Saccharomyces cerevisiae S288C: one gene and its partners. The protein of the gene in region 4 binds, or shares a complex with, the protein of the main gene of each other region. Each region holds a gene or a part of one and is shown on either strand. Other genes may lie near its edges.

What was found.
Region 1: MRPL40 (region 4) and MRPL20 share a complex: the UniProt entries of both Saccharomyces cerevisiae proteins name them as parts of the mitochondrial large ribosomal subunit.
Region 2: MRPL40 (region 4) and MRPL33 share a complex: the UniProt entries of both Saccharomyces cerevisiae proteins name them as parts of the mitochondrial large ribosomal subunit.
Region 3: MRPL40 (region 4) and MRPL6 share a complex: the UniProt entries of both Saccharomyces cerevisiae proteins name them as parts of the mitochondrial large ribosomal subunit.

Annotation. Positions count from the first base shown.
Region 1 is NC_001143.9:598,500-601,557, reverse strand, and holds MRPL20 (mitochondrial 54S ribosomal protein mL58 MRPL20), read left to right. Parts: upstream 1-1,876; coding exon 1,877-2,464; downstream 2,465-3,058. Other genes in the region: DEAH-box RNA helicase PRP16, read right to left, coding at 1-1,701; ribosome dissociation factor GTPase HBS1, read left to right, coding at 2,668-3,058. UniProt on the Saccharomyces cerevisiae protein: Component of the mitochondrial ribosome (mitoribosome), a dedicated translation machinery responsible for the synthesis of mitochondrial genome-encoded proteins, including at least some of the essential transmembrane subunits of the mitochondrial respiratory chain.
Region 2 is NC_001145.3:840,398-842,774, forward strand, and holds MRPL33 (mitochondrial 54S ribosomal protein uL30m MRPL33), read left to right. Parts: upstream 1-1,544; coding exon 1,545-1,805; downstream 1,806-2,377. Other genes in the region: NGL2 (RNA exonuclease), read right to left, coding at 1-1,294; DSS1 (exoribonuclease II), read right to left, coding at 2,039-2,377. UniProt on the Saccharomyces cerevisiae protein: Component of the mitochondrial ribosome (mitoribosome), a dedicated translation machinery responsible for the synthesis of mitochondrial genome-encoded proteins, including at least some of the essential transmembrane subunits of the mitochondrial respiratory chain.
Region 3 is NC_001140.6:392,139-394,927, reverse strand, and holds MRPL6 (mitochondrial 54S ribosomal protein uL6m MRPL6), read left to right. Parts: upstream 1-1,644; coding exon 1,645-2,289; downstream 2,290-2,789. Other genes in the region: SKG6 (Skg6p), read left to right, coding at 1-473; snoRNA-binding rRNA-processing protein IMP3, read right to left, coding at 843-1,394. UniProt on the Saccharomyces cerevisiae protein: Component of the mitochondrial ribosome (mitoribosome), a dedicated translation machinery responsible for the synthesis of mitochondrial genome-encoded proteins, including at least some of the essential transmembrane subunits of the mitochondrial respiratory chain.
Region 4 is NC_001148.4:221,348-224,536, forward strand, and holds MRPL40 (mitochondrial 54S ribosomal protein uL24m MRPL40), read left to right. Parts: upstream 1-1,795; coding exon 1,796-2,689; downstream 2,690-3,189. Other genes in the region: NIP100 (Nip100p), read right to left, coding at 1-1,426; COX10 (protoheme IX farnesyltransferase), read right to left, coding at 3,006-3,189. UniProt on the Saccharomyces cerevisiae protein: Component of the mitochondrial ribosome (mitoribosome), a dedicated translation machinery responsible for the synthesis of mitochondrial genome-encoded proteins, including at least some of the essential transmembrane subunits of the mitochondrial respiratory chain.

The DNA of each region.
Region 1 (3,058 bases), on a different chromosome or scaffold from region 4:
GAGAATATCACCGCTTGAACAATCGTTTGCTAAATGAATTTTCACAGCCTGAGAAACTGCAGCTTCTACGTAGTCTTGAACAGGGTTGGAAGTATATATGGTCTGTACGGGGAAAGTTCTTCCAGGAATTGTGAACTGAGGAGCATTACCAAAAAATGCGGAGAACTTCTTCGCATTCATTGTTGCTGAAGTGATTATGAGTTTTAGATCTCTTCTACGTGCTAATAAAATCTTGAAAAAACCTAGTAAAATGTCTGTATTTAATGACCTTTCATGAGCTTCATCAATAATAACACACGAATATTTATCGAGTGTATCATCCAATAAGGTCTCTCTGAGTAGAATACCATCCGTTACAAACTTAAGTTTTGTACACTCAGAATCCGTCACATCTTCAAACCTTATAGAATAGCCTACTTCCTTACCCAATGGAACTTGCATTTCCATTGCAACCCTTTTTGCAACGGATATGGCTGCTACTCTTCTCGGCTGTGTGACAACAATAGATTTCCCCCTATCGTTGGCATATCCTTCTTCATATAAATACTGTGCAAGTTGCGTGGTTTTACCTGAGCCCGTTTCACCAATTATCACCACTACTTGATTTTCTCTTATCAATGATAACAATTGAGATCTGCAGCGGAAAACAGGCAGTTGCTCTTTAGTATGTTTAATGTCATCTTTTGATGGCGTGAAAAGAGCTGTATCGTCGCAAATCTTTTGGTTGCTCTTATCTTTTGCTTTATTGTTATTCTCCAAGCCTAGTACTTCCCCCATGGCAGTGTTCAAAACAGTGGTGTTGTCTCGAGATTGTTGAATATGTTCCATGTTTATCCTTCTCAAGGCAACCAGCTTACTACCTCGTTTGGCGTTCGCAGAAAATTCACTGTCAGGATTCCTAAATGGATTCACCATTGATAAAGCGGATACTTGGCTGGACGTCTCAGAGATGGACCCGATAATTATGGAAGTGGGCACTTTGTTTTCAAGAGCAAACTTTGATAAAAAAGGAGGGATCCATTCCATTCTTTGCTTGAGTGGTATGGGGTATAATTGAACGGTATTTCGTAAGGCATCATCGTTGTCGATATTCCTAATGACAGGTAGTAGTTTCGCTTCCTCAGGCAATTCAGACAGAGGTTCAGGCACCAAATTTCCATAATCATCATCATTATCATACCATTCTCTGTCCTCCTCAACTACTTCGCTTCGAGTCGGTTCATAGTCCTTCGTTTCAGCATGACCATTCTGTGTTTGCTGTTCACTATTTGGAGAAGGATCCTTCACGGTGGGCGAATACTGCCTCAACTGTTTGGCCTTTAGTTTATCTATTCTCTTGAACAACGTCCGTGTAGGTGCTGGTTTTTTTTGAACTGGAGAATCTAGCTCATCTTCATTATCGTCAAGGTCTAACTGGATCTTAAATTTCTTTCTCTTATTTATAGAAGGGGCGATTTTCTTTGGGCCTGTCGAGTCCTCTTCAGATTTATTCTTGAGGAGCTCCAGAAGTTCATTAAAAATGATTGGATTGTTACTGCTGAGTTTCGTCAAAGCTTTACAGCTGGCAATAAACTGTTCTAGATTAGTATTCGGCTTTTGCGCTAGTTTCTGCAGTGTCAAAAGCAACCCAGGCGTTAGTTCTTTTGACGTAAGTTCCTTAAATATGTCTTTTATCCTTTCCTCACGCCCCGAATGACCCATACCAGAGGTATTTGTATTGTCTTTGGGCCTTCTTGTGTTTTATCATCTGCAGTCATCTCATGAATTTTTCAGCTTTCACCGCTTTTATTATTTGAGAAAATAGAAAAGAGGGCAAAAAGAGATACTTTCAACAAGTTAAAATGGAAAATTAAAGACAAAGTAAAATAGCACAAGAATGATTGGCAGAGGTGTGTGCTGCAGATCGTTCCACACTGCTGGATCTGCCTGGAAGCAATTTGGATTTCCCAAAACACAAGTGACAACGATTTACAACAAGACTAAGAGCGCATCTAACTATAAAGGGTATTTAAAGCACAGAGATGCTCCAGGAATGTACTATCAACCATCAGAATCCATCGCAACCGGATCTGTTAACAGTGAGACCATTCCACGTAGCTTTATGGCAGCCAGTGACCCTCGTAGAGGGCTTGACATGCCTGTTCAAAGCACTAAAGCGAAGCAGTGTCCAAATGTTCTCGTAGGTAAGAGCACAGTGAACGGCAAAACCTATCATCTGGGACCTCAAGAAATTGATGAGATCCGGAAGTTACGTCTTGACAATCCTCAAAAGTATACACGCAAATTTTTGGCTGCAAAATATGGCATTTCGCCATTATTTGTATCCATGGTCTCGAAACCTAGTGAACAACATGTACAAATTATGGAAAGTAGATTGCAAGAAATCCAATCACGCTGGAAGGAGAAGAGGCGTATAGCCAGAGAGGACCGTAAGCGTAGAAAACTCCTGTGGTACCAGGCGTGAATGCTATATAAATATAATAACAATCGTGTAAATACTACTCTATAAGTACTTCGTATTCATATATTGATCACAATGCACGGAGACGCCCATTAATGTGACTTGAATATACCACATGAAAGCTAACCAATAAGCAATTTAAAAAGAGTTAAGTACAGCTTGGAGACACCCAAAGGCTTCTGCTTCGACAACTATTGACTATCGAGATGGCTTACAGTGACTACAGCGATGGAGCAGACGACATGCCGGACTTTCACGACGAAGGTGAATTTGATGATTATTTGAATGACGATGAATATGATCTAATGAACGAGGTATTTCCTACTCTAAAGGCGCAGTTACAGGATTACCAAGGCTGGGATAATCTTTCACTTAAGCTAGCTTTGTTTGACAACAATTTCGATTTGGAAAGCACGCTGGCGGAATTGAAGAAAACTTTGAAGAAGAAGAAGACACCAAAGAAGCCAATTGCTGCTGCTAATGGGAGTGCGAATGTTACTCAAAAACTGGCAAACATCTCAATTTCGCAACAAAGGCCAAATGATCGGCTTCCAGACTGGCTTGACGAGGAAGAAAGTGAGGGTGAACGCAATGGTG
Region 2 (2,377 bases), on a different chromosome or scaffold from region 4:
GCTCACCTCTATCATTATCAAGACCTGCATTTTCTGGATGAACATTCTTATACCCAACAGAGTATAGTGAAATAGCCCTCATATCCAATGAGTTATGGAGTTGTGCCATTTTATCTACGAGTTCAGACTGTTCTTCATTAGCATGAAATTTTTCAGGAACGGGGCTCTCAGGTTGATCTTTACCATATTTTTCAATATTCCCGCCTTCTTCGTCATCTGCACCTTCTTCGCCATCACGGACCTTGGAAAACTTATATGAAGTGCTGCACCCAATGACGGTCTTTGCCCTGTTTCTATAGTGCACTGGTTTGGATGTCATAGATAAATATGGTGTGTCGAACGGCTGGGAATTAAAATCACCACAGAAAAAAGGAAACCAATGAGATAAATCCCCATCATTTTCGTTCTGTAAAACATTCACACGATGCATGAATTCCTTCATCTTTTTTAAAACAATATAGCATTGTCTTGTTCGTTCATAAGTACCAAATGGATGCCAAAATAGATGCGTAGTGCCGATCAAGATACCGCATTTTTTAGACGATTTTTTACCCAAATTCGACAGTACTTTCTCAGAAAACTTCAAGGCTAAGACTAATCCCACGTTGTTTGTCGTTGTTCTAGTGGAAATGCTTTCTGAACTTTCTTTATCATAGTCGATTAGCATTTTGTCAACCTGGTGAAATAATTCTCTCCTCCACATTATCGCGACACCATGGTTTTTTGTAGCATTTCTATAATATTGTCCATCGTATCCCAATTTACTGAATTCATCTTTCCAAAAGCTTTGAAACTGAATATGATCAATCTCTTGCAAACAAATGACATCGGAATTATAATATTTAAACTCGTTTAAGAGAACTTTAGAACGCCTGTACCATTTTAAAGCGTCACCACTATCCGGGAACAGCTTTCTGCGGATTAGAGCTTGCGCCAAGCAATTATAAGTCATTAGCTTGAATCTAAATCCAGTTACTGGCTCTGCCTCATGTAGAGATAGGAAAGGTCTTCTGATAAAATGCAGCTCTGGCGGGCAGTCCGGATCAACACCTTGAGCCAACATTGCATCTCTTTTAGCCTTTCTCATAACTTCCCTTTCGGCACGAACCTTAGCGATATGTTCTGGGGTCACTATGGGCTTCGATTTTTTACCTTTCTTGCCCTTCTTTTTATGTTGAAGTAACGAATCATCATTGGTTTGATGTTTTGCATCTTTTACAGATTTATTAATTTCTACTTCTTGGTCGGGCGCAACATCTGGGGCAACCACTTTGACTTCTTTGTCTTGTGTCATATTTACTTAATACTCTTAACTACAATTAAGAAGCTATAAGGAGACTACAATCTCATCTTCTTGCAACACTACTTTTCCTTTCCTCTTGCTTTAGTGCAACCATTTTTTGAAAAATGAATGGTCTTTCTGCACGAAATATCTCTCGAAGAGCTTTTCTAGATATTAAGGATAAAGTATATCATCCCAAAAGTTAGGTGATGGAATCAATATTGATGGACCAGCTAAAACACGTTGAAAGCAGATATCAGGAATGGTGTTTTACAAAGTCACGTTGAGTAGGTCGCTTATCGGTGTGCCACACACAACGAAGAGCATTGTCAAAAGTTTGGGTTTAGGTAAAAGAGGGTCCATAGTCTACAAAAAAGTAAACCCGGCCATAGCTGGCTCCCTAGCTAAAGTAAAAGAGTTAGTCAAAGTAGAAGTAACAGAACATGAATTAACACCATCGCAGCAACGAGAGTTGAGAAAGTCAAACCCTGGGTTTATAGTGGAGAAGAGAACCATCGACTGAAACAGCGAAAATAAGGCAACTGGATTTCCTTTCTTCTTGATATTCCTGACTTATATATGTATATAGTATTATTTTTTCCTGCATAGGCACATATGTTAATAGTAATTTATGCAATTTTTGATACAAAGAAATCAATACACTATCTCGATTTCATATTTTATGTATGTATATATTTACAAGAAGAAAATTATGCATGGTCTATTGAATTTTATATTTGGAAAAAGAGTCCCTTTTTATAGCTTTTCCAACTCTAACATTCCTTCTAAACAGTCAATTTTTGAAATTTTACAATTCTTCACGATATCTCCAATCATCGGATAATGCATAGAACTTGGATGCAATTTTAATGTTCCTCTAGCGAACGATAAGTCTGGAAAAACACATCCAGTAAATCCGTTCTGCGGTACTGATGTTACCATTACATCGAAAGTCCTTTCTGGCTCTAGTTTGGTTAGCTTTTTTAAATAATTCAGTGTCCAGTACGTCGACGAATTACGGCTAGCCCTTTTTAAAATATCCGCTCGAGATTGAATTGGCCAGATCAAACTGTCGATTTGTGTTTGATTAAAACA
Region 3 (2,789 bases), on a different chromosome or scaffold from region 4:
ACAAGCAACAACTTCTTCAATTACAGACTGCCAGACTAAACGGAACTGCGTTAAATCCGGTCGATCATCCGGAAATGTTTTATTCACCGACAAACGATGCCTATTATGCTCCACAGCAGCAAGGCCAATATATGAAGTTTAACGAAAATGGGGCGGTTCCTTCACCTTATCAACTTAGACAAAGTGTGGTAATGACCAATCCTTCGGATTTGACGGCAAAACCATCTTATAAGCCAGCAGGTTCTTTCAGAAGTGTAAGCGCAACCAATTCAAGAAATAACAGTCTGACCACACAAAATAATATCTATCTGCAACAGCAGCAGCAGCAACTGTATAATTCTCGTGTTAGTGGGATATTAGAAGAGACAGATGTTGTACAGCCACCAAGTGTTGGTGGAATTTTGCCACATAGTGGTTCACAGGACGATTTAAGAAAACAATTAGGCTCTTCACATAATTATACCGTCAACTGAAGTGTAGATAATGAACGGACAATTATCGGATATATAAATTGATGTTTTATTGGAGAAATTTTACAAATTGCGTATTTATACAAATTAATTTATGTTAAATAGGATTTTTTCGAAGTGTATTTTTAAGTTTTAAGGCATATTTAACAAATGACGCCGATGAGAAATTGTTTTGCGGTTTTTCTTATTTTTGCATACGACGAAGAAGTTCCTTTGTGTATATAACAATTTTTCATGCTTCCAGCTTTTAAGAAAGCTCAGGCGCCTCACATCATTTGTATTTGCTGCCTCGTTGCCTATTCGTAATAATTTCACAATGTAGGAAGATGATAAATCGAGTATTGATACAGAAAACGTAAGTTTGTAGTCAATTTATGAAAAATCAAAATCGTCGATTTGGTTTCTGTATCTCAACAAGGTTTTCTTGATCTTAGAGTTGTCCACCCAAGTAACGTAGTCCTCCATATTTCTCGTTACGAGGTAGGCTGGATCGTTGATCAAATTTGGACCCACGCGAACATGCCCTTGTTCAATGAACTTGACTGCATCTTGTATAGTTTCCGCCATTTTTAATCTATGCATTATTACAGGTAATCGCCTCCTACAGATGGCACTAACAGTAACTTTATTTTCCAGATCAGAAATCTTTGATTTAGTTGTCAGGACACCCATAGCGTATAGCTTGTCCAGTAATAATTGCTCATGTTTGCGACGAAATGGATCAGTGGGAGGTAATAATGATAATTTATTGGCAAGACGACGAATATCACCGCATATCCTATTGTATTTATGATAATCTTCACGATTCTGAATATGATATGTTCTCATGACCTGAGTGTCCCGGTGGCCTTGGTCCTGCTTCCATTCAAGGAAGTCTACTTTTTTCAATAACTTTTGCTCATGATGCTTTAGTTTTCTAACCATTATTGGTTGTGATTATGCCTGGTGGTTTATCTATTTAGAACGTTCTATATTACTTATCCCATTGAATTTTTGTTGCGATGAGCTTATATCAGTGAAATTTTTTTCACTGGAAGTAGAGGGTAATGAAAGGCGAGCGGAAATAGCGAGGAGACGCTACGGTTATAGAGGAAGAATATCAAATACTAGTAAGTAAGGGAAGATCACGCAATAAAGCTATCGCAAATCTTACTATAGGAATTGAGGCCAACCTATGTCATTTATTCAGAGGAGGTTATTGTCGCAAACACTTTTTCTGCGCTCTCAAGTGGGGTCTTTACCACTTTATATATCTCCTGAAGTTCAGGTTTCCATAAATGCATTATCCATGCCCAGGATTATCAGAAAAGGTAGAACTTCAATGAATATATCACAGAATATCACAGTAAAGGGACCCAAGGGTGAATTGTCCGTGGAGGTCCCTGATTTTTTGCACTTGGACAAGGATGAAAAGCACGGTAAAATAAATGTTACAGTTCAGAATTCAGAAGATAAACATCAACGTTCGATGTGGGGTACAGTAAGATCACTTATAAATAATCACATTATAGGTGTTACTGAGGGGCATCTTGCTGTCCTTAGATTTGTAGGGACAGGTTATAGAGCTCAATTAGAAAATGATGGTAAATTTGTCAACGTTAAGGTGGGTGCATCTATCAAACAAGGATTGGACGTTCCTGAAGGTATTGTTGTCAAAACACCTGCTCCCACGTCTCTGATTATTGAAGGGTGCAATAAGCAGCAGGTCCTTCTTTTTGCTGCCAAATTGAGAAAATTCCATCCACCAGAGCCGTATAAAGGCAAAGGAATATACGTTAACGATGAAACAATAAAGCTAAAGGACAAGAAAATCAAATAACTTCAGGATTTCAGTTATTTTCGTACTCATTTTCGTAATTTTTTTTATGACATGTATCTTTTCTTATACTTTATAGGGAATACCTTGTAAATATCCTATGAAAATAACTTAAATGAAATTTATATTGGTTATTAATGCGGTGACGTGTTCTTGCTTGGTAAACATTTTGGTGTTCAATGAAACTCTTGGCTTGCAACCTTTAATATATACTAGTTTCACGGAATATGAACGCAATAAGTAAGGCCACAGAAGTTCGAACCTTACCTTTCATTTTATACAGTTTCGAAAAGGGAACACCATTTAGACTAGAAACCAAATATCCTCTTTAACGTTCTGCTAATGCTATATATTTTTTGATTCCAACGCTAATAAAGATTTTTTTTCTTGAGTACTTTTCATGTTTTGTTGTAGAGAGCCCATTTAAAACAAAGATGTTTACCAGAAAACAAAAGAAAAGATCAAATAAGTGAGTAAATGAAATGCTGTACCTTCCAATTTCT
Region 4 (3,189 bases):
AAAACTTCCTTTGCAAAAACTCGCTTAGCCACATCGAAATCGGAGCAATATTTACTTTGAAACATTGTAATGTCGTTTCCAGGTGATCGGGAGTATTCTTTATGGTGTAAATATGAAGCGCATAACTGATAGAGCTCAACACTTTTAGAATTATATGGATTTCAATATTCTCCAACTTTCCAAAATTTTCACTTTCGATTACTTCGGCTAAATATTGCAATTGAGAGGAAAGAGCCGCCAAATGTGGTTGTGCAAATGGCTCATATATTTGGTAAAATTTCTTTAGCAATTTATTTTGATATAATTCCTCCTGTAAAGTGTTCACTTTTAGTTCAAGACTTTGAAATTTGTGAGATGTTTTGGCTTCAATAGATTCCAATGTTGCTTTTAATCTTGAATTTTCTTCGATATATGTGCCTGCTATCTCCTTTTCATTTTCCAATGCAGATTGCAAATTACTTAATTGCAGTCTCAGTTCTTGCTCGAGTTGCTCATAGGTAATTCTTAAATTTTCATCCAATTTTTCTTTTGCCTGTAGTTCCTCCAACTCATTGTTTAAAGCCTTTATATTACTTGTGAGTAGGATATTATCATTAGTCAATTTATCAACAATATTAGATGATTTACTTTGAGCTTCAATCTGCAAGGCAAGGTCGCCGATTGTATTATTAGTCTGTTGCAATTGCAGACCTAAATCCGATATTTTTTTAGATAATACTGCATTTTCTTCTAATAACTGAGTATTCTCCTCGAGCAGGTCCTCTTGCACCTTCATAGCTTTATCATATGACAACTTTGTTTGGTCGAGTAGTCCCTGAAGAAGATGGCTCCTTTCTAACAGTGTGCCTTTGTCGAGATCCGGTGCCATTACACTATCTGAAGCATCTAATAGGTGATTGAAATTATCCAAATGAGTTTTCATATTACCATTTTCCACTTTCAGTTCTTTGACTAGTTTATCCAATCTTGAGATTTTAGACAATAGAACAGTTTCATTAGTACTCAGCTTTTCAACGGAAGTTTTCAGCTCATGATTTTCTATTTTAATTTTATTTAATTTGGACGCCAATGATTCACATTTTACTTGTAGATTCTTAATTGTTTCTTGCGCTGCATTACCATTTAGCAAACTATGCTCATCGTCATCTGGTTTATAAAACTGCAACGTATCTTTCTTGCAGAAAAGACCATAATAACCACCATTTGAATTAGCTTTCTTCAGGTCGATATCAAAGTAACGAATACCGTTAGCGCTTCCATCATTCTTTCCTAACGGTTTATCTAGTTCAATGCCGTACCATATGCCTTTTGCAAATTGAGTTTCCCCAATGAATTTCACCCGCCCCTTCATCTCGTTGACTAGAACTGTGTCCTGTAAGCTTATCTTCTGCATATTTGTGTCAACTTGAACACCTGCATTGCGCATTTGTCCAAGGCTGTACTGCGAGGTTGATGGAGATCGAATCTAGAATAGTATTATGTACTTTGCAAAAGTAAAGTACAACATAAAGTCTAGCAGCATATGAGTAACTCTCTACAGTTACGCCAACAATCTCAGTGTGGAGGTTAGAGTAAAAAGAAAGCACCTTACAACTGTACGTTTACATAAGTGACTTTTCAACATATATGCATTTTTTGTTAAGCATTGTAAAATACCCGGTTGAAAAGCGACATGAAAAATAACGACATGTTAGATTCAAAAGTACCTACTGCTCTTTAACAGCTACTTAAGGATTACCTGATAAGAGTAATCCACCGTAAAGAACATTATCAGCAACAAAATTTGTAATCCATCATGTCTGGAAGCTATCAACATTTATCAAACGTTGGATCGCGTGTTATGAAAAGATTGGGGAATCGACCCAAAAACTTTCTTCCTCATAGTGAAAAGTTCATTAAAAAATCTACGCCTGAGTTCATGAAGTCAGATTTAAAGGAAGTAGATGAGAAAACTAGTTTCAAGAGTGAAAAAGAATGGAAGTTTATACCTGGCGACAGAGTAGTAGTAATGAGCGGGGCTTCCAAAGGAAATATAGCTGTAATTAAATCTTTCGATAAAAGAACAAATTCATTCATATTAGATGAGAATGGGCCCACAAAGACTGTTCCAGTTCCTAAACAATTCTGGCTTGAAGGCCAAACATCTCACATGATAACAATTCCAGTTTCAATTTTGGGAAAGGATTTAAGGCTAGTTGCTGATATTGACGATGAAAAGACCCCAGGAAAGACAAGAACGGTGGCAGTAAGGGATGTTTCCTTCAATGGTTCCTACTATGATGCAGACTACAAAAAGGTAATGCCATATAGATGCGTAAAGGGTCAACCAGACTTGATCATTCCATGGCCTAAACCAGACCCAATTGATGTGCAAACGAACTTGGCTACCGATCCTGTAATTGCTAGAGAACAAACATTTTGGGTCGATTCCGTAGTGAGAAACCCTATTCCAAAAAAGGCAATACCAAGTATTCGCAATCCTCATTCTAAGTACAAAAGGGGTACCTTGACAGCGAAAGATATAGCTAAGCTAGTAGCACCTGAGATGCCCCTAACAGAGGTAAGAAAAAGCCATTTGGCAGAAAAAAAGGAGTTGGCTGAGAGAGAAGTACCAAAACTAACTGAAGAGGACATGGAAGCTATTGGGGCGAGGGTTTTTGAATTTTTGGAAAAACAAAAAAGAGAATAAATGTACCAAGTGTATGCACTCTATTTTTATATTTGATTCTCTAGTGTGATTTTTTTAATCAGTATATCCCCTTCACTATTCACGTAGTAAATAAGTTATATTCGACCTGTATATATGAAAGCATAAAGTAAAGTTCAAAGAATATTCAGATATTGATGTGGGCAAACGTGATGACTTCAAATTACAAAATCTTTTCTTTAAAAATAAATTATGTGCGTATGTACATTATTTTTAACCAATAAAAGGGTTTAAATATTTATTTACAAGATTAATGACTGCCCTTTAAGCGTTGTCTCTTTATCTCATTGTACTAATGCTAAAATCGTTCCTGTGGTCGCTTTGCTTCACCAGGATATATCCAATCCCAGCGGCCTTTTTTATGTATAATGGCTAGGATTAGAATTGCCGGTAGGTGCAATACACTAGCCATAAAAGTTTTCCTTGCATAAATGTTGGCTACACTTAGACCTTTATTAAACTTGACGTTATCTTTTAATGTT